Linked DNA regions of Daphnia pulex. The protein of the gene in region 1 interacts with the protein of each later gene in a pairwise test. Links are inferred from orthologs where the notes say so. Each region holds a gene or a part of one and is shown on either strand. Other genes may lie near its edges.

Region 1 (10,270 bases):
TCTCTCATACACACACTCACACACACACACACACAACACTCGAATTCACTTCTCAACCCCCACGGTCAAGTCATGTTGTTGTTGTTGTCTGTCAAAAATGTTGAGACCCAGGGCGAAACAACCGAGAAATAAGAAGTTGAAAACAAAACGAAACCAAACCAAAAAAACCACCAAAATTTCTTCTCCGGGAGTTTTAAGTGTTCGTGTTGGACTGACTCGGGCAGAGACGAAAAAGAAACGCGAACGGACGGGAGTGAGAAGGAGAGAGAGAGAAGAGAGAAACACGCACAAAATGGCCGCGTCTAATGTTGAATGTGTTGTCTGTTGTGAGAAAGGAGCGCTGCTTCGTGAGCAACGGACCGGACTCACGACAAACAAACTCACGAATGGCGACCTTTTAGACGAAAGGAAAGAGAAGAGGCGGGCAGAGCCACAGCGGCAGCAGCAGCTAGCCAACATGCACCAGTCCCGAAAATCTCCCCCCCTCTCGACGCCAACGCAGTGACATCTGGCGCTTGAGAAAAACAACTTTTCACGCCCCACCAACGACACACGAAATCTTTTTTTCTTTCTTTTCTATTTTTTCACGCTCGTAGTCGGAGAAGGACCACGACCTTGGGAAAAAGGAAATAATATTCATCACACACATTGTGTTACCCACCACCCCCACCACCCCCACCCCAACCACCTCCTCCCGCAAAAAAAATGAAAAACGGGACCACCTTTTCGGATGAAATAAAAATCGATATCTTATATAGAGAGACATGTAAATCCGGGAATGTGTGTGTGTGTCTTTTGTATACGCACAAGACGCCGTTCCGTGTCGATGATTTCACGAAGTAAAAAAAACGAACGAACGAACGAAAAAAAGCGGCGTAATACACACACAGACGCGACCTGGAGAGAAAAAGAGAGAGAGAGCCCCGGAGCGGTTGGACGCGGTCGAGTGATGGAGAGTTATTTTTTCGCCATTATCATGTTCTTTCGTCTTCTTCTTCTTTTACGTATTTTTATATTTCACTTGGAATAACAATGAAGGAAGGAGTAAAGGAAAAAAAGAAAAAGGATGAGCCAAAAAAATTCAAATCAGTTTTTTTTTTCTTTCTTTCTCCTTTTCGTTTCATTCCGTGTGTTCCCAAACCGAACGAACGAACGAACGGGAGAAAGAGAGAGAGAGAAGAGAGTTCACAGACCGGAAAAAAGCCTTAGGCGATTTTTTCTTTTTAGTTTTTTTTTCACGTTCTTTTTCTTCTTCACATTCGTCCAACATTTCAACTAGTCTTCCTTCGTTTCGCCTTCCGTGTGTGGTGCATGTGTGGGCCCTTCCTCGATTGGTTACACGAGAAATGTTTCCCCTTTTCCCCCCAGAAAAAAACAAACAAACAAAACAAAACGAGAAAAAATCATTTTTCTGTTGGTTTTGTTTTTCTTTTCTTTCTATGGACTGACAAAAAATAAAAGGAGTTGACTGATCGGCCATGACAATGGAACGTTGACATTCCATTTCCAAAAAAAAAAAAGAGAAAAATTTAGGAATGTCTAGCTCTCTAGTACAGTATAAACACAAGAGATAAAAAACCTGTTTCTACTTCCATGTTAATGAGCCCCATTTTATTGAGAGAATCTGAACATTTCCGAATTCCCTCGCCTGTTCTAAATTTGGTTTTGTTTTTTTTCAATTCCTTTACGAGTCATCGAGTTGTGTGTGTGTGTTAGTAACAGCGATTTCCGGTTAGAAAAAGGAATATAAAAATGGAGAGGAAGTGTTTCTGGGGGGGTTTTTGTCTTTTTTCTTACATTGCTGAAGGGTTCGGCACTATTGGCCCGGCTGGACGGAGTTGTTGAAGAAGAAGAAGCAGCAGCGAGCGACGTAGCCACCATGACCAGACCTCCTTCACCGCCGGAAGTGTTACTGCGGTTGATGGCCGTCCGGTGTTGTTGTTGTTGTTGGTGGCCGGCAGCCGCTGCTGCTGCTGCTGCTGATGGAAGATGATTCGAACCACCTGCTGGAGTTCTCTGGGCGACGACACGGTTGGACGACGATTTTTCACTGGTGGCTGCTGCTGCTGCTGCCGCCAAAGAGTCGGATGAACTCATATCAGTCGTTGCTTCCTTCTACAGAAAAGAAAATAAAGAAAAAGATTGAATGAGAGATTTAATTTTCGCCCAAAACAATTTGGATGGCATACCAAATGCGAGGAGGAGGATAACGTATCCAGGGATAAGGGATCAGCAACGGGGGGCGTGTCGATAGAGTGGGCGTCCACTTGGACAGATTGACTCATGACGTTTCTTGAGTCTCCACAGATGACTGACGGATGGTAGGGGGGAGGTGGAATGAGTTGGTGGGTGATGGAATAAAAAAAAAGGACGAAAAAGAGTTTTGTCGGGATTCACCAAAACGCCATAGTTCTTCGTCCTCTCACGTCCACTCCAGGTGGGAAATCCCACGTATGTGTGCACTTTCCGTTCTTCCGGCTCTTCTCCTTTTCAACTTTTTTTCTCTCAAGCTGGTCGACGAACCTCGTGCGTTTCTTTTTATAACTTTTTTTTTCTTTCGGACGGCGTCGAACTGGCGACGCACCAGGAAACAAGCCCCACACGCACGTGTCACTGTGTAGCTCTGGTAATTGGGTGTGGACGAAGCTGTCACACAAAATGCCAACCTGCTGGCGTTCCAGTGCTGCAGGGGCACACTCCAGTCAAATCGCAGTCTCACACAACAACAACAACCGCAGGCAGACTCTCACCAGGCTCTCGTGTTCATCTGCACACTTGGGATGGCCACACCAACGATGAGTTGTGATGTTGCAGATTTTGAGGCTGACTGACCGGCAGGGCAGGACACACAGGCACTAATTGGAAGTTGTTTGGGGAGTCGTCAGAACATGGACAGACGCACAACCAATGAGTCTCTCTGCAGCAGGAACAACTAAAAAGATAAAAAAAGACAATAAAACAAGAAGGAAATGAACACACCAATTGTCTAAATGGAATCGTCTGGCTGATCCAACCTGCTTTCAGGTTTCAAAGCAGATGAATGGCTTGATCTATTCGCTTTTGCACATCGACACAACTGCCAGCATTGGCATCCGTTTTCGATCGAACCGACACACTCGACGTCGACAACATTGACATGAAAACACGACAATTTTCAGAGCAAGTCTTCTTTTTTTGAAAGACACTGAATACACTGACAGTTTGGACAACACACACACAGCACCAAAGTGGGTGGGAACACACGTAGGTCCCGGTTTCCCCCTTAAGCTGTGTGCAACACACACACTCTACACACTGGTGTGTGTGTACGAAGAACTTTTGGGGTGAAGAAAAAGGGGGGAAAAAATCTAGTCAACTGGCCCACCGAGTTCTTCTCACCGAATGTGGGCCTACATAAACAAATCCTTTAGAGATTTTATTTTTATTTCGGCAGCGGAAATGGGCTCGAGTGTGTGTGTGTGCTAGATTGCACACATTCGTTGTGTGTGTGTGTGTAAATATACTGTTTGTGGGGTGGGGGGGAGAGGCGGGGACGGGTGACTTTGAGGCGGAAAAGGCTTTGAGAAAGAAACAACAAACATGCGCAAGAGACATCTAGCGGTGGTTTATAAAACTACGTCGACTTGGTTATTTCCCGCTGCACTTTTCGAACGCTATCTGTTTAGATTTTTATATGTGATTTCATGATTTGAAAGTTTTGCATGCGTTGCTTTGGCAACCTGAACTTTTATTAGAAGAACGAATATTTGGCAAGGACATCGAAATACATTTCGGATAACCGAATTAAAATAAATCCCCCCCCCCCAAAAAAAAACCCTTATTTCTTTGTAACGTCAATTAATAGACCTAAAAACTGAATGACTAAAATTAATCCGGGAATTATTTCTTACCTCGTTAAATCAATTAAATTTTGAAAAGTTTTCTGAACGGTAGATGGCGCAGGAATCGTGGCTGATTTCCCAACCGAAACGACAACAACAAAAAATGAGGAATCCACTTAAGGAATTTTTCCCCCGACACACACACACTCTTCTTGCTATTTCAAATCAGCAGCAATCTAATCTCGGTGATTAGAGAAATTCCAAAGGCAACAAAGTCGAACTGGAGAGAAAGAGAGCTAGTAGGAAACGAGAGCAATTTCTCATCTCAGTGTTGCGATCACAGAAACCTCCTAAAAAAAAAATACTTTGACTTCAATGACCCCCCTATCTATTCCGACACGCGTTCTATTATGTAGTTAATTATTTTTTAACGAATAAGGAAACAAGGAAAATAATGGGAGGCCCTTAGATTCTTCTGGTACTCGTCTGCTGTGAATGGACCAGTAATTCGGATTGCTAAACTCTCTGTTAATGAAAGCTGCATAATCGTCCGTAACGAGCCGGAGGGGGTGGGGGCACGGACTCCGGCATGTACTTGTCTCTTGTTGTCCAGCAGTCTAGCAGCTTGCCTCCAAATATTGATACGGAGAGCATCCGATAGCGTGCCTTAATTAATCTAAGTGTATTTCTAAGTTGGGTGTGCGTGTTCCCCCCTCTGTTTTACATGTCTCCCCCCCCCCCCCATATTAAGTGGATTGGGCCAATTAAATATGCAGTGCATTGATGACATCCATTATCATCGAATGCGGAACTAATTCCATCGGACACAGCCGCCAATCGAGTTTTGAAGTCGACAACTTTCAATAAGAAATGACCATGGCCCATCAATAGTATCGATCGGCATGTGTGCATAGATTCTAATGATCTAATGAATTGGTGGAATTAAAATGAAAGTCGAAGCGTTTTTCTCCGACTTTGACTACGTCGTCGGACCGAGTTTCTCGACACAGTCGATTGACAATACCAGGAAATGAAGAAGAGAGAATAGAAAATAAAAGTCAACTTATTGATCGACATGGCGTTGTGTGTTTTCAGCGACCTGGTCTACACACACACACACATATACTTTATACGTCACTGCGTCAGTCATTGAAATTATTGATCGACTCCTCGGTCCGCGGGACGCAACTGCTCCTGCTGGGAGAAGGACTCACCAAGTTTCTCTGTATATTATATGATCCAAAACATGACAAAATGTTAGATCCTTTCAATCAAGTCCGTTAGATGGATCTGCCAGTTGCCATCTCTCTCCTTTTTCTGCTCCCACCAACTTATATACCAAAAAGCTACCAGCGTGAAAGCTGAAAGAAAAGAAAAAAAGAACTTCACGTTCTAGTGTGCTGTGTGCCAGCCCAGGGACAAAGAAAAAAAAAAAAAAGTCCTGGGCAAAATACAAAAAAGAAAAGAAAAAGAAAAGAGAAGCCAGCAAAGCTACAAGAAGTTTTGGCCGGGTCTCGGCTGCTTGTGCCGAGAGAGTCTAGAGTCTAGAGTAGTAGTAGTATAGTAGTAGTAGTCGTCTATATAGTATATATAACATGTACAAGGGTTGAACTTCTTTCTCTTCGGGACCAATCGGGCCAGGCAGGGCTCCAGCCTATAAGATAACGGAACGCGGGAGTCAAAAGGGGTGGGATGGTAAGGACCCACCCACCTCCCGGTTTCCTCCCGGTTTCCTCCTATTTGCCCTCTCTCTGATGGGCACGGCGCGGAGATATTGAGCGCGGCCATGGTTGGGAACGGACGTGCGCGATCCCGGTGCGGCGGCGATGCGCGTCAGCCTGGCGACGGCGACGACGACGACGTCGAGCGGTGAGGAGATCCTTGGGTGTTTTTTTCCGCTCGCGGCTGCTCCTCACTCGACAAGTGCCGACTGCCACCGCCGGATCTTTTTCTGAGGTTGGCCGTCGCCCCCCTCGCGTTGCGTTCCCGATGTGCGGCTTCAGTGCAGTGCGAATTATTGGAACGCAGCAGTTGGTGAGAGCGACACACAAGACGAAGGAAAACGGCGGCAGCAGCGGCCGATCAAGTGGACATTATTCGCCTTGTTCCGTCCTACTCACCTACGGCCCAGCATTGTCGACGGTGCCGTCGCAACCAATCAGACAAGTGAGAAATCGACCGAGACCACATCATCAGCTGGACGTGATCGTTGCAATCCGTCGTAACAGTTTCGCCCTGTAGCTGCCGCCGATCCTCCCCCCCCCCCCCATTCAGCCCCCCCTTTTTTTGATTCCGGTGACGGCCAAGCTTCAACAAGAGCAGCCGTAGTCACGGGCTATAGGGCTGGGGGTTCCGGAAATTTTTTTTTTATTATATTTTTTTTTTTTTATTTGAAGTGAAAAATCCTATCGAAAAAAAAAAATTTGTGTTTGGGTTCAACTTTCCTGGAATTTTTTTTTTTTTTTTTAGTTTTTTTTAGTTTTTTTTTTAATTGAATTTGAATTTGGAAAAAGTCAAGTCAAATTTTTCAAAGTGGAGTTCACGCAAGATCAGCACGACCAACCGGACCACCACCACTTCGTCAGCCATCACCACACGAACCCACACCACAAGATGTCGGACGACGGCAAAGGTTACGTCCTCTCGCCGGAGGAGGAGGAATGCCTCAAGGACCGCAAGTGGTGGTGCTTCCTCCTGTCCAGCATCTTCACCTTCCTGGCCGGCCTCACGATCGTCCTCATCTGGCGCGGCCTGTCCATGATCTGCTGCCGTAAAGACGCTTCGCCCGAGTACAGCCAGAGTGACCTCAAGCAGCAGAACCTGCCCAAACCGCCGCGCCAAGCCAAGGAGGAGTTCGAAGGCACTTTCGTCACCGACGCCAAGGACTGGGCCGGCGAGCTCATCTCCGGACAGACCACCACTGGACGCATCCTGGTGAGTTTCTATCCATCCATCCAATCAAATAGATTCCATCAAATATAAGCCTATGATACAAACTATATTATACATGCGGAAATCATTTCGATGGGCTAAAGAAACGCGTGACTACTGCGATGGGTAGGGGGTCGATAGCGTGTCAAGGTAGTAGAGACGGCCAACTGTGTCGTCGGTGGTGGCCCATTGTCTTTGGCGTATAGATGAGGTCACGCGTCACGAGCACATCAGAGGGCAGACGAAAAAGCCCACTTGAATTCCCAGCGCTTTTCTCAGCATCAAATCCCGGCCACAGCAGAGATCGTGCTGGCGAATTATAGAAAATAAGGAGACCGACAAACCTTGTGTGTGTGTGCACAGCAGCAGCACAGCCAATATGTGTGTGTGAATGGAAAATCTAAGCACACAGCCAGTGGTGGTGGTGGTCGTGTATAGTAGGCCAAATAGTTTGGCTGATGAGGCAACCCGAGAATATATCCTCATCACACAGCACACACATCAGACCCATCACAAATATACAAAGAAAAATAAATCATCAATACACACACCAAGTTGTACAAGTCGCATTTGTTTTTGTTGATCTAAGAAATCAAGAAAAGAGCTATAGGGAAAATATATATCTAGGGGAAAAAACAGCATCCCAGGAAGATGTGGAGCACATCACAGCTCTAGAGCTCTCTCTCACCGAGTTGTGTATATTTCTTATTGATCGCCAGCCGGATCGATAATTCGTCTCTCTCTTGCCCGTGCGTTGCAACTCGCTGTGTGTCTGTGCTCAAGCTATAGAGATGCATGCGCCTGCTGGTGTGCTGGACTCGCTCTCTCCTCTCTTCTCTCTGTGTAATGTCTAATGTGTGCACGGGTCGGCCACAGTACCCCCCTCTAGATGTGAATTCATTCAAAAGAAAAAAGCCTAAAAGTGGATAGAATTTCGCTCGTCGGCCTTTCCATCATCTTGCAGCAGCAGTCTGGAGAAGAAGAAGAATTCTTGTCGAGGGATTTATTTGAGTAGTATTGGCACCTTCGTTGCTGGATGAGGGGCTTCTTCTTCTTTTGACTTTTCCCTTTTTTTGGAGGGGGGTCGTTGAGACGATGTGCGTTCTCTCCTTGTGCTGTGCGTTTAGTTTTATAGTTTCTCCCCTTTAGAGTATATAGACTCTATGTGTGGTGTGTCCCAATCAATACTGCGTCAGCTGTTTTACACACACACAGCACAGCACCAGCACATAAAACGCGTAGAGAGAGAGAGAGCTGGTTCCCGCCGTTATATACACATCGAGTCCGAAACGGGTGGCAAAATAAGAGACGAAAAATCATCGATAGCCGGGCGCTCAATATATAACGACGAAGAAACCAAACAAAACGGACACGGCGCGGGGCAATAATCAATGAAACTCTCTCTACAAAAAAAAGGTTTCCCCTCCAAAAAAGAAAAGGAAAAATATTTTTTTTTAGTTCCCATAATTTTCTCGGCAGCGCAAATTCAATTGAACACGAAGAAGAAGGAAGTTGCGATCTTAAAAAAAATAAAAATGGCGCCAGCCTATAGTGTCTGGCAATGAAATCAAGGAGCAGAGAAGACGCGCGAATATAAAAATGCCTAGCGCTTATTATTTCTCTCTCCTTCGAGTGTCGAATCAAATATCTAGATAGCTTTCCCCCCCCCCCTTTTTTTCCCCTCACTTTTCAACGTCTTTGATCTTTCTGTAAAGGCCCCAAAAATCCCCCCTTAACGATTTCGTATGATGTATCGCTATAGACTTAAATATAGGCCTCGATAGATATCCTACCAATAGTCTATTATTATTACATATTATATATGAAATCCAAGCCACATTTCCCCGCAAGTCTAAATGCCTATACATACTCTATATTACTGAATGGCGAAAATGATTACCGGTAGAAATTCCGGCATCTTCCCATCAAATCAGCTCGCACCACTCTGTCTCTTTTATATAAGTGACTCAAAGTTTATAGTCAAAAGCCTTTTTGTCATATAGAAAATAGCTTCTGATTATTATTGCTGTCAATTTTATGTATATTATTTCGACCCGGCGCTATGTATGTATGAGACACACACACACACAGAGAGAGCCCAACGGCCAGCATAGGCCAGCGCCAAAGAGAGAGAAAAGCGGTCGCGTCTGTGGGCCGCAAGCGCGACATCGATTGATCCGCGCGCGCCCAGCCCCGCCAGCGCATCTCCAGCAGCAGCACACACCGCTGCTGCCAGCACTGCTGCCGCGTCTGTTATATTATATCCTATACCGTTGGAAAAACGACGCGCAGCACGCGCGGAATCTTGTGCAACATTTTGCCGGGCTACGCGCAGCAGGAAAACAAAAAAGAGGCGGAGTGTATAATAGTAGTACAAGTGATGTGCTGGGCTGGCTGGCTGCCGGCCACAGCACAGTCCATATACTACTGCTGCCTACACGACGAACATGTAATAATAATCAAAAGAAATAGAAAGCTATAGGTCAATGCCGTCTCTCTATATAGCTATACATATACACTAAATACACGCGGTCGCCAAGACAACTGATGCCTTGGGCGGATCAAGAAATAATCAAAAAAATAAAAACAGCACACACAAGAGATTATATGTTGATCAAGTCTTTTCGGCGAGGTTGGGGGGGTTCGCCATAAGTCTATATACATTTGACGCGGTCGTGCTGATGTCTTGGCAGGAAGTGATGTAAGCATTTGTTAAGACTCTTTCCGCTGCTGTTATATAGCCAAGAGACTTGGGGGGGTATATAGGGCTTCGTCTGTGTCTATTATAATCTGGTGGCCAGAGTACTACTTTGATGCCGGGCATGCGGCACGGCATGTGGGCCAGCCAGTTGTGACTATATAGTCATCTATTGGAGTATATGTATATATATATTCGGGCACAATTTTGATATGTGTGGTGTGCTGCGGGGAAAACGAAGAAGAAGCCGTGTGTGCTGGATGTAGTCGACAGCAGGAGCCAGCGCAGCAGGGATGTATAGGCGGCCGGCCGTTATGAAATGCAGCACCAATCAATACCGCATATATAGTATACAGCCCGTCTGTGCGCAGCGCTCTCCGCTGCTGTCCTCCAAGAGCTGCTGCTGCTATGTATCCTATATCTAGGACTCTCCTACTTCCTCTAGATATTCGACATGTCATCGGTCGAGTGTGCTGTGGGCCGTCCAGCCTATAGAGAAAGAGTAGGATACATCAGCCAGTCGATCGTCCTCTTGGCACACGCCAACGTTCAACGTGTGCCACGTATAGATACTTTATGGTATAGAGCTGAATATTTCTGTCGATCGTTGAGACTATATAGATGTCCTTACATATATATGTGAACGAGCTTTATAAGAAACAGACGGGGCTATAGAAAAAAGAATAAGAAAGAAAAAAGAAATCCTTGGCTATCATCAACTGTGGATCAATAGATGGGGGGGAAACGAGAAATGCTGTATAATATAAAATACGTATACGAAATAAAAATATAAAACAACCGAAAAACCCAAAAAAGGGAT
Region 2 (10,270 bases), on another chromosome or scaffold:
AGGCGGATAACAACATTTTAAGAATAGAAAATATACATAAAAGAAATATTATAGCTACCTGGAGGGAAGCATTTTAAAATTTGTTTGACATCCAAAACCACCTGGTTGTAGTACTGATGATGCTGAATCTCTTCTGATGAAACTCCTGTTTCCTTTAACTGGTGTAACAATTTGGGTCTACCAACAATTTGATTCTTAACAAATAGACAGAATAAACAAACATTTTGTTATCAACATAAATGTTATCTTACGTCTACTTATAAAGAAAGAGAATATGTTACCCAAGACAAAATATTTTTCACAAACAACGCCTATTTTCACTTTTGAGACTCAATTAACCAGCAATTAACTCTTGTCTGACTTTTGGAAAAAAACAAACTGACAAGTTACAAGCAGACAACTCGAAACTGTTGATGTAATTTCCAGGCGCGTTCTTAAACCTGCAAACGCGTAAAAGTTTGTACGCAACCTGAACCTACGCAATAACGCAATCAATAAATGACGTTTCACTTTAATTCTCTAAATACAAAATAATAAAAGTGTTTACACCGTGTAAATACATAAGATAATAATTACTTAAGAAAATAGTTACTTGTGAGAATAATTACTTAAGAAAATAATTTCTTAAGAGAACAATTACTTAAGAATATAATTACTTAAGTCATTGCTAGTGACTTACGAACAATTGTACTAATAGAACCTATTATTTGTGAACATAATTTTAATAACTGGTGACCATAATTACTAGCGAGTATTTGACTAAATACACGTTGCATGAATTACTTAAAGCCCGAATTATTAAAAATTTTAAATACAACAGTCCATAATTACTTAAGAACAAAAATACTTGTGTCCTTAATTTCAATAAAACAAAATTTTGAAAGAGCTTGATACCATATTTACTAGTGAAAATAATTACTTGTATCCGGATCCCTAATTTATAAATTAAATCAAAAATTTATTTGATTATTGATTTAATTTTTGATTCATCTAAAATTTCTAAAAAATGATTTATGATTTTGATTCATAAATCAAAAAAATCGTGATTCAGCAAACACTGGTTATAATGGGAGGTGTCAAAGTGTATTTGGGGAAAATGGTCGCCTGCTTTTTTCTGTGAAAATTTCGGAAACTTATATAAATTTAATAAATATTAGAAAGAAAGCGATCTCGTTATAACGGATCGGTTGATTTTTTTTCTCATCAGGACACCAACGTAGCGTAAAACCCTATTACACTAACTTTTGATAACAAAAATCATCGTCTTGACAAAAAAGGATTTTACACCTAACGAAAAAATTCGCAAATTTTTTGTATTTTCAACATATTTATAATTTGTAGTTATATAATAAGTTGATATCGATCAAACAGACCAGCAACACATATCGCTTCTCGCTATATTTTCCCGGGGCTTGGAAAATATTTGAAAACCCAAACACCTCTATATTTACCAGCTTAATATGTAACTACACAACTCTTATGTTTGACGCGTCTGCTATTCATTCTCTTCAACTAGCTGGTTGAAGAGGACAAGAATAAGTCAGGGAAATGAGAAAGCCCGACAACGAGGCAAGGCCCGCCTTTTTTTGAAGCTAGATAAAACACACACATGCAACATCAGACTCTTATATAGTTTCGTTTGGATTCTATTTTGGTTCGAGAGCTTCACAGCAAGCACTATAAGCAGTAATGCGAAGAAAAGGAACCAAGGGATTCCCTGCTGTACTGAGCATGGTTTGCGATATGCGTCATAATTTACGTCAACACGGAATATACCAAATAATAAGCCAATTTCGATCATGGATTTCTTAGTGTAAATGTGTTCACCAAAATGTATTTTGCGTCTTCCTTTTTTTAAGAGTTTCCTCGAAATCTCGTAGAAAGGGAAAATAAGAGAGGGTAAATAAAACGAAGCAGGTCTTACACAGACGTGGAAATTTATGCGGAAATAAAGTGTTGCGTCGTATTAACCCTTAAACTGGAAGTCGGAAAGGTGAGTATACCAGTATAAGCTTCCCATTTTTACGACTAAATCAGTCGGTCGTGTCTCCAGTCTTCGCCAAAACTTTTAGAGAGCGAATCTTTCGATAATTTCTTGCCCACATAATATTTGAACTAAGTGAATAACTATTTTGTAACGCTATTTACACTTGAATCCGTATAATTACACCAATTACTAAGTTTCTATGTAATGGAGCTTTTCCCAGGAATTGAATTCAAGTTATGTAGGACGTTATTTGATTTCTCGCTCTGAAACAAAGTTGAGAGTTGCAGATGAGTCGACTAGGCTGCAGTTTGCGCCTGCCTGTAACTTACGATGGTACAGCAGAGCAGAGCGACTGTCAGACTCGAGACTCGAGATGCAGCATGATATCTCAAATGGTAATGCAGAACAAATATACCATAACGGATGTCTCTCCATATACGCAGGACGCCAACCTAATTAGAAGAAAGGGGTTTTCAATGAATTATAGTTCATGAGTAGTAAGACTTTTTTGTATTATTATTTGTAACGTTTATTGATGATGGCGGTGGGGGGGGGGATTCCAAAAGGGTATACAGGCGAGAATCTTCGGTGCGATTTGTGAACCATAAGAATATTGGCTCCATAACCGCACACAATGGTATACATATTTAGATCAAGAGGGCTGGGCTATTCATTCGTATGACTTGAGGAGGGAGGTTTGGGAGGAGAGAGAGAGAGAGAGAGATGTACAGTAGGCAACAGTGTCTGACTAAGATAAGAGGCGAAACCAGAAGCGGGAGCTAATACGAGTTCACGCTCGGCTTTGCGAAGCTGGCTAGATGGAGTGGCTGCACGTCGTCGTTCGTTCAACGCCCGTGCCCAGGCTAAAATAGCATCAAATACATAAAGCGAGTTTTGCTCGGCCCCGGCATATTGTACATGTACATATGCGACTCTCTCTCTCTCACTCTTCTCTTTTTTTTCCCGCGTGCATCAGTGGAAGAAAGAGAGAGAGAGGCAGCTGAAGAGAAAAAGAGACGGGCCATAGGACTCGACTCGTCATGAGAACGACGTGGGCGTGTGTAATGTACACAAGAGAAGAAACCTAAAAGAAAAATTTCTCTCTTCCAACCATCCAACCAACCAACCAACCTCCCAAATCCAAACTCTTCCAACTCCCGCGATCCCGACACCCGGCCCCCCTCTCCCATTCCACCCACTCTTCTCTCCTAAAAAAGAATGGGAAAAATACTTTGCCATTATCAAGGAAGCCAAAAAGAGGAGGAATCAAAGGGGGCTGGGTGGGAGGAGGACAAGGTGTGGGGAGGGAGAATCGGTGGGAGTTGTACGAACGGGAATGTCTGAGGAGAAGGACCAAAACATGCATTGAACGCCAAACCGACTGGCTCTCTCTCTCTTTCTCTCTTTTTCTTTTTTTTTTCGTTTTTATTTTATTTTTCATTTTTTTTTTCGTTCGTAGCAGAGTTGAAGAGACTTAGAGCAGCTGCAGAGGACGAGGAACCATGACTGGCTTCTGTGGAGAAGGAAGAGCGTCAGAACTGGGAAACTCGTCGTGAGCGGTCGTGAGTGGAGATCAGTATAGAGAGAGACTGTCACCGAAGTCGTCGTCGTCAGTCGCTGCGTGCTGTGCTGCTTCGACGTTTGTTTGGGCTGGGCTGCTGCTGCGACGAGTGCTACTAGGCTACTAGTGCCGCTGCTACCACACTGCTTCATCAGTATACATCAGGAGGGATATACGGCACTGCCAGGGGCTTGATGTTGCTCATTCGGCGTCGAGTTTCCGTCGAAAGTGGCGGTGAAAGCGGCCGGCCGCAGGAACGTGCCAAAGCTCCTTCTCCCGACACCAGCAGTGCTGTGGTTCATTCCTTTATCGAGCTGGGTATTTCGGGAAAGGCCAGAAAGCGAGAAAAGGAAGCCCCAAGGAAACAACAAGGACAACAATAACAAAAGGCAAGACAAAGTCGCGCAGAGAGAAGAGAGAGAGAGAGAGAGAAGAGGCCAACGCACAGCAAGAAAAAAGCCCGGCACTACACAAATCAAAAACAAACCGTCGGCAGGAGACAGTCGGCCGAGACTCGAGAAAAACTATCCAGCAAAGTGTTGAACGCCTTAGTACCTCTAGACGCCTAGTAGGAGCCGCCACGCGTGTGTCGTCTTCCAGTGCGACAACAACAAACGAGAAATCCAGCACCTTCGGCTGGGAAACTAATAGCCGACATTGACTGCTCCTGTGGTGTGTAGAATCAGTAGAGTGTGATGTTGGGTTGCTGCTGGCTGTAGAAACGCTGTATAGCACGCTGTTGCTGGAAGTTTGGACTATTGGTTTTCTCCGCAATAACTCTGATTGAATTTCGAAACTATATCTTGTGAGTTAGGCATCTGACGACAGGGCGACAGCAGTGACACAATGCAGAGAAAAAGAGAAAGAGCCAGATGAGGAATTCCTTGGTGAGTGCGCATGATGATGGAGGGACGGATCGTCTACGCGACGGGAGAAGAGAGGCGGTGTGTCTAGATTCTTTTGATGCCAAACTGAATTATAACGACCCTAATTTCGAGGTCGTCCGCCAGTAATCCAATCGCAGGGAAAGCAGTGCCCCCCCCTCCCCCTCTCTCACGTCAGCTGATATCGACAAGTGAAAAAGTTTAATCTATTGACGTTTTTTTAATGATTTCAGTGAAAACTTGCGAATTTACATGTGAAATCGAGTGCCTTGGTTGCGTAAGTGATGTGTATCGGAATGTGCGCTGTGTTTCTCTAGCTCTGTTTCTGGTGCGGTCATCTCGACCCTATATCTGTCGGCTCCTTAAAGCAGTAGCACTCGGGTCAAAGAAAACGGGACAATACACCAAGTGGATGGACACTTATCCTTGCTGTGCAGTAAGCTTACGCACACACGTCTGCATTCTTCACGTCTGTAGACGCCGAGCCGACAATCAGCTGGACTATGGATTGCTGTTGCTGGTGGGTGCCACCGGTCCCGATCGATATATAGATAGACCATGTGCTGCCCTCTTTCTATACATTCGCCAGCTGGCGAGACACACGACACCCTTCCGAATGAGTGACCGCTCATGTAAGGAGATATACAGGCAAAGAGGAAGGGAAAAAAAAAACCTCGGGAAAGTCAAGCAGATAAAGACAGGCCTAAAAGAGTCAGCAATAGAGAAAAAAAATGAATAAGGAAGTACACAAAAAAAGGAGCGGGAAAAAAATGCTAAAGTGAAAGGGAAAACAGCCGACGACGACTTATAAATTCTCCCGTGTACAATATAAGGACGGCGCAGAGAAAATCACGTTGCAGCAGCGCCATTGGGAGCTCCCGACAAGAGATTGGCACATTCAACCTGAAGAAATTCGACGTTTGACCGTGTGAGTTATTACTTATTAGGAGCTGATGCGAGTTGAATTTGATTTAAAGATTGACGTCATAAGGGGGGAGTAGTCCCAGCCAGTTGGAGCGCATCGAACCAGGAATCCTGTACGAATCGGCCATAGGCTGGCTCTACATAGGCGCCGATGATGCGGGAGGAAAAGGAGCGGAAGAGGATGAACGTGCAATCGTTAAGGATCGCGCTGTCTGTTCGACTTGAGTTCGAGTTGGGGTTCGACCGTTGTCTGCTCAAGTGGTAGCGCCGCTTTGCTAAACAACGGCCAGTGTTGGACAGTGAATGCGGTCATCGTCCGACAAAGGGATTTATGTGTGTTGAATTCGTGCAGACGCCAGAGAACTCGAGGACTGGCTAGTTAAAGCGATGGCAACTTCAATGGCCTGCACGTCTGCAACGGCCACCAGTGCTGCTTCTGTTGCCACATCATCATCCTCGTCGTTATTATCCGCCGCCGCCGTGACCTCGTCCAATAATGCCTCGGCTGGCCATAGTTTGTCGTTCGCCAGCCACAGCCCTCGCCCGCCCGAGCTGCACAGCCTTCGCATCCACACCAAGAGTATCGAACAAACTCTCATACCGCTCGTCACGCAGGTAGGCGAAAACGCAATCGCTAGACGCAGAAGCTTCTATATATATCTATACTTTAGCACTATAGGCATAAACCATGAGTCGATATATACGTACGGCTGTGCACTTTCGCATGCATTCGGTCTCCTATGTGTAATGACATCGTGCCATTTCCGACGAGAGAACACAGTTCAATATACACGCCCACGATGAACCGTCTCATCCTATATAATTCAGCTGGTGCCAGCATTCACCTGCTGGTCGGAGGCCTCCTCCTTTTCTCTCGTTCACCTCCCTTTTGGAGTCTAGCCGATGGGCTTTTCCTCGATTTGTCATGGCCATGTCGACAATATTCCGGGTAGTATGAGGCTGTGTGACGGACATTATTTATCATCGATTCGAAATTTAGGCGATGGGCAAGTTTCTCGAAGGGCCGGCCCGAGTGGCGAAATCCGGCGAAATGGAAGTTCATATAGATCTAACATCCAAGCGCCCGTCTGTCTGTGTCTACGTATATACGTGTATATACGCCTAGTCTGCACTCGTGTGAAAGTTCTATATAATTCTATATGTATATTGCATGTCTTGTAATATTATTACGCCCGCAACCATACCGAATCACCGAATCTGGTGTGCAGCGGGGAAAAAGGAAGATTTCTCATTGATCCTTGGGTTATATATACGAAGTCGAATAAGCTATCAGGGATGAAGCGCATGCCGAGTACGAAAGAGCAATAGGTCGAGCTTCCTGCAGTAAGCAGGTATATTGCACCAATTTCGTCCGACGATTTTATGGCATTTCGCGAATTGGAGTTAACACCAATTTACAGCCGTAGGTTTGCCCATAGACCACTATGTATAGAACTATGATTTCGTAAGGAGTCTCAGAAGTTTGATCCCTTTAGCTTAAGCCCATTACCAAATCGAAAATTTATTTTGTGTGCAGTAGGTTTCTGTGCTGATATTTGACTGAAACATTACTGATGTGCATTCAAAAATCATACATAATTCTTGATTACCAATTGCGTGACTGAAAATCATAGAAGCCAAAACATTAGTAATTACGTTTAGGATACAAGAGAATAGGCTACATATAAGATGTAAGAAACTGACCAAGATAAGATCTATAGAAAACCGCTGTCTCGGACTGGCAGCGACTCTTTGAAGGCTAGTCTTATTGAGATTGCAATGCGCTCGTCTTACTTTATTCGTGATCGATTGTACTATCGAGCTTAGAGAAAAGGATATATGGTACATTGGCTGGCAATGGATTAATTTCCTTAGAGAGTCTTGGTCTTTTGAACAAGTCACAGCAAAGGGACGGTCGGCAGCACTTCACGCCGCTCTTCGCTGGCGGTGCTATACGGGAACGGGCATCCATAAGGTGGAACAGGCGGGATTCTCTTCGCCGAAAGATATTTATAGTCATTCAGCCGCACGCTCTTTTTCGAAATCAAATATTTCTTTCTCTTTGAAACGTAGATTGCAGCAGAGCGTTTCGTACAAAACCAGTAGGCAGCAGCACAGCACTCATAATTAACTGAATGCGTTCTACTACTTTTGTAGTTTTCCTCTATTAGTTTCACTCGGTTTCACTCTTGTTCTGAAAGGAGTTGAACCAATTTAGTTACTTGTTTCCGTGGTAACTTTGGAGCTTCATCTTGCAGTTAATCATTTCAAAGGGTATAGTTCGAGACAAAACTTGTTTTTTTTTTTCTTTACTTGCTTTTTGATGACTTATTCACTCTTATTCACTTTAATCCATGTTGTATGGCAGGGCGTCTAGCGTCAACCAAGATCGTCGCTATAACAGCGCATGGCGATCTTGTTTTCGCTCACTCGCAATATACTGCATTACGTACACGAAATAAAAACAAAATAAAATACCGCGTTACGGCGCAGGCTTCAGACAACGTACGTTCTTCGAATTTCAAATTCGTATACATGCCGTATTTCAGTATTTCTCATTAAGCGTAGCATTATGATATTTGCCGTGTTAGCCGAATCCACAATATTTATCGCAATAATAAATAAAAAAAACGATGATTTCATTGATGTCATTACGGAAAGATTAGTAGGGTCAACAAATGCACTGCTTTGCAGACCGCCAATAACCTAGACCTGTGCTTTGAAATCATATTTGCCGTTCTACAATTTTCATACATATTAAGTCTTGGGCGCTATTTCGGATTTGCAGCCTATTTGCGCATTTATGGTGCATTGCTGCAATGTAAACTTGTTTCAGAAAAGAATATTAACCGAAAAAAAAACTCAGTCCTTGAGCTATTCAACAGCCAGCTGAAGCAACAGCGAACCATCACACGTACCAATTACCGCAACAGCTAACGCTAACCTTTATCGATCGAGCAAGCAGTAGCCTGCGGTGCTGCGAGAACCACCAAACTTCTATCAGTCCATCACACTACAGAAACGGTATGACAGCACGGTATAGCCGATGGCGTGAGCGTGAAATCGTACAAACCACCTAGCCTTTATACTAACCAACTTTTCTCATTGTCCGGAGGTCTGAGGCTCGGGTAAGTTTGAACGGTTATTCCGGTATTGCTGCGCTAAGGCAAAGATGGCTCTATTTACTTTGTTGAATTGCAAAGATGATTCAAACATGAAAATATGAAACTATAGTGAGGTTAGTTTCCTTGCTACTGTGGTTAAATTCTTCTATACTTTCTTTTATTTAGGCCTACATCACACAGGAAAAAAATTACTAATTATACAACAGCTTTTTTATTTATTATTTTTTATTTTAATGTTTAGCTATCTTATGCTTTAAACGGCTAGGATTGTTCAGAAATAGCATAGAAAAATTCCGACATCTTCTTTGTTACGTATCTGAGATATTATAGGCTACTTAAGATTTTCCTTTTACCTTACATATTTGTTTATTCTTTTGCGCTCATACCTCCCTTTGTTTTTAATTTCTCACATTTCTTAAACAATGTGATAAATCGACTGTAAACATCGAAACACTCTCAAGCGCGCGTGCGCTCATACATAAGGATACATGCATTCGCGAGAATATGCATGTGGACTAGAGACAAACACTTATGATGAGTACCTTCTGTCTCGAGCGAGTTTTTTTTTTATTTTTCGATTTTTTTAAATAAAAACAGGCGGACAGGCATTATTTTTGTGAGACTTAGACCTAAACTTAATTGTGTTGCCTACAGCAGTTTCTGATCCATCAGTCTGATCCATCCAGATGATGCTGCCAGATGTCGTCTCAAGTTTTGCTATTTTCGCTATGAGGAATGCAGTCTGGTCTGGCACTGTTTCATATTATTACTTTGGAGTTTAGGGTCTACCAACATTGTGTAGTTATCAGTTATCTCCCTGAAACTTCTCATCAGCCCTGCTGTCTGCCCCGGCTTACTCTTAAAAATTGCCATAGCCGACAGAAGCCCATTCGAGTTATCGCTCTCGGACTCGGAGATTCTGCTTGTTTCAGTCGACCCTTTTAGGTGCGTTTAGGCCTTATTTCAACCTATTTATAGAGCTTATTCCCCCATACTTAACCGGGGAAAAAACAGAGAAAGCAACTTGAACGTGCAACCTGTTTCCTTTTTACTAGTTTTTCGTCAGAATCACCTCCTACACCAAAACTCTAGCAGAGAGCTTTAATGTTCACAATTCATCCTACTCGGAAGTTCCATTATGCCTATGATGTGGTTGGTGTGGTGTATCTCTTTCTCTATATAGAAGGGGCACTATCTTGAACCGTGCATCATCTGAACGTTACTTGAACTACTTGTATAGACATTTATCGATATTTGCTATCTTCTTTAGAACCCATATGCGCCTTTATGTTCGGTGCAGAACCGCGCATCGTGTAGGAGAGATTTAAAGCACCCCTAAGTCGGCAAATATTAGTCGGTCTTTAGGCCATACCTTCTTGAGAATACTATACATCCCCTTAAAATGTAATAAAAAGGAAAATTTGAATAAAAATAGAGATTGATATTTCCCAGCATGGAAGAACTAATTACGGAACAACGAGACAAGTTCAATAATGGGATTATTTTGAGTAATTAAACATTACAGTTTCAATTTAATTGGTTAAGAATTGGATTAAGAAAGTTTTAAATACAATTTTATTCGGTTCGTGCCACTACTAGGCTACCAGAAGAAAGATAGTAGAACGGTGGTCAAAATTACTAAATTCTAAATTGTAATTAAGATATTCTGACACTAGAACAAATGAATTAAAACAAAAAAGTACCTACCGAAAGTCTTTGGAAGCCCGAGAGGACCTTATGCAAAAACGCTGTTTTTGCAGTCCTCTCAGTACTATAGTTTTTAACCAAA

What was found. The genes of interacting proteins can lie anywhere in the genome.
Region 2: the proteins of calcium-activated potassium channel slowpoke-like (region 1) and alpha-catulin-like interact in a two-hybrid assay, tested with the Caenorhabditis elegans proteins (2 studies listed by BioGRID, with this or other methods). The link is inferred for Daphnia pulex from reciprocal best matches to the Caenorhabditis elegans genes slo-1 and ctn-1.

The regions. Positions count from the first base shown.
Region 1 is NC_060025.1:7,405,005-7,415,274, reverse strand, and holds the start of calcium-activated potassium channel slowpoke-like, read left to right. Parts: upstream 1-5,600; 5' UTR 5,601-6,434; coding exon 6,435-6,755; intron 6,756-10,270. Other genes in the region: protein alan shepard-like, read right to left, coding at 1,798-2,115, 2,190-2,285. UniProt on the Caenorhabditis elegans protein: Potassium channel activated by both membrane depolarization or increase in cytosolic Ca(2+) that mediates export of K(+). Its activation dampens the excitatory events that elevate the cytosolic Ca(2+) concentration and/or depolarize the cell membrane.
Region 2 is NC_060018.1:8,603,104-8,613,373, reverse strand, and holds the start of alpha-catulin-like, read left to right. Parts: upstream 1-3,477; 5' UTR 3,478-5,360; exon of another isoform or gene 5,361-5,423; 5' UTR 5,424-5,743; coding exon 5,744-5,971; intron 5,972-10,270. UniProt on the Caenorhabditis elegans protein: Required for slo-1 potassium ion channel clustering at presynaptic terminals and in egg-laying muscles; clustering of slo-1 mediates the intoxicating and sedatory effects of ethanol on worms.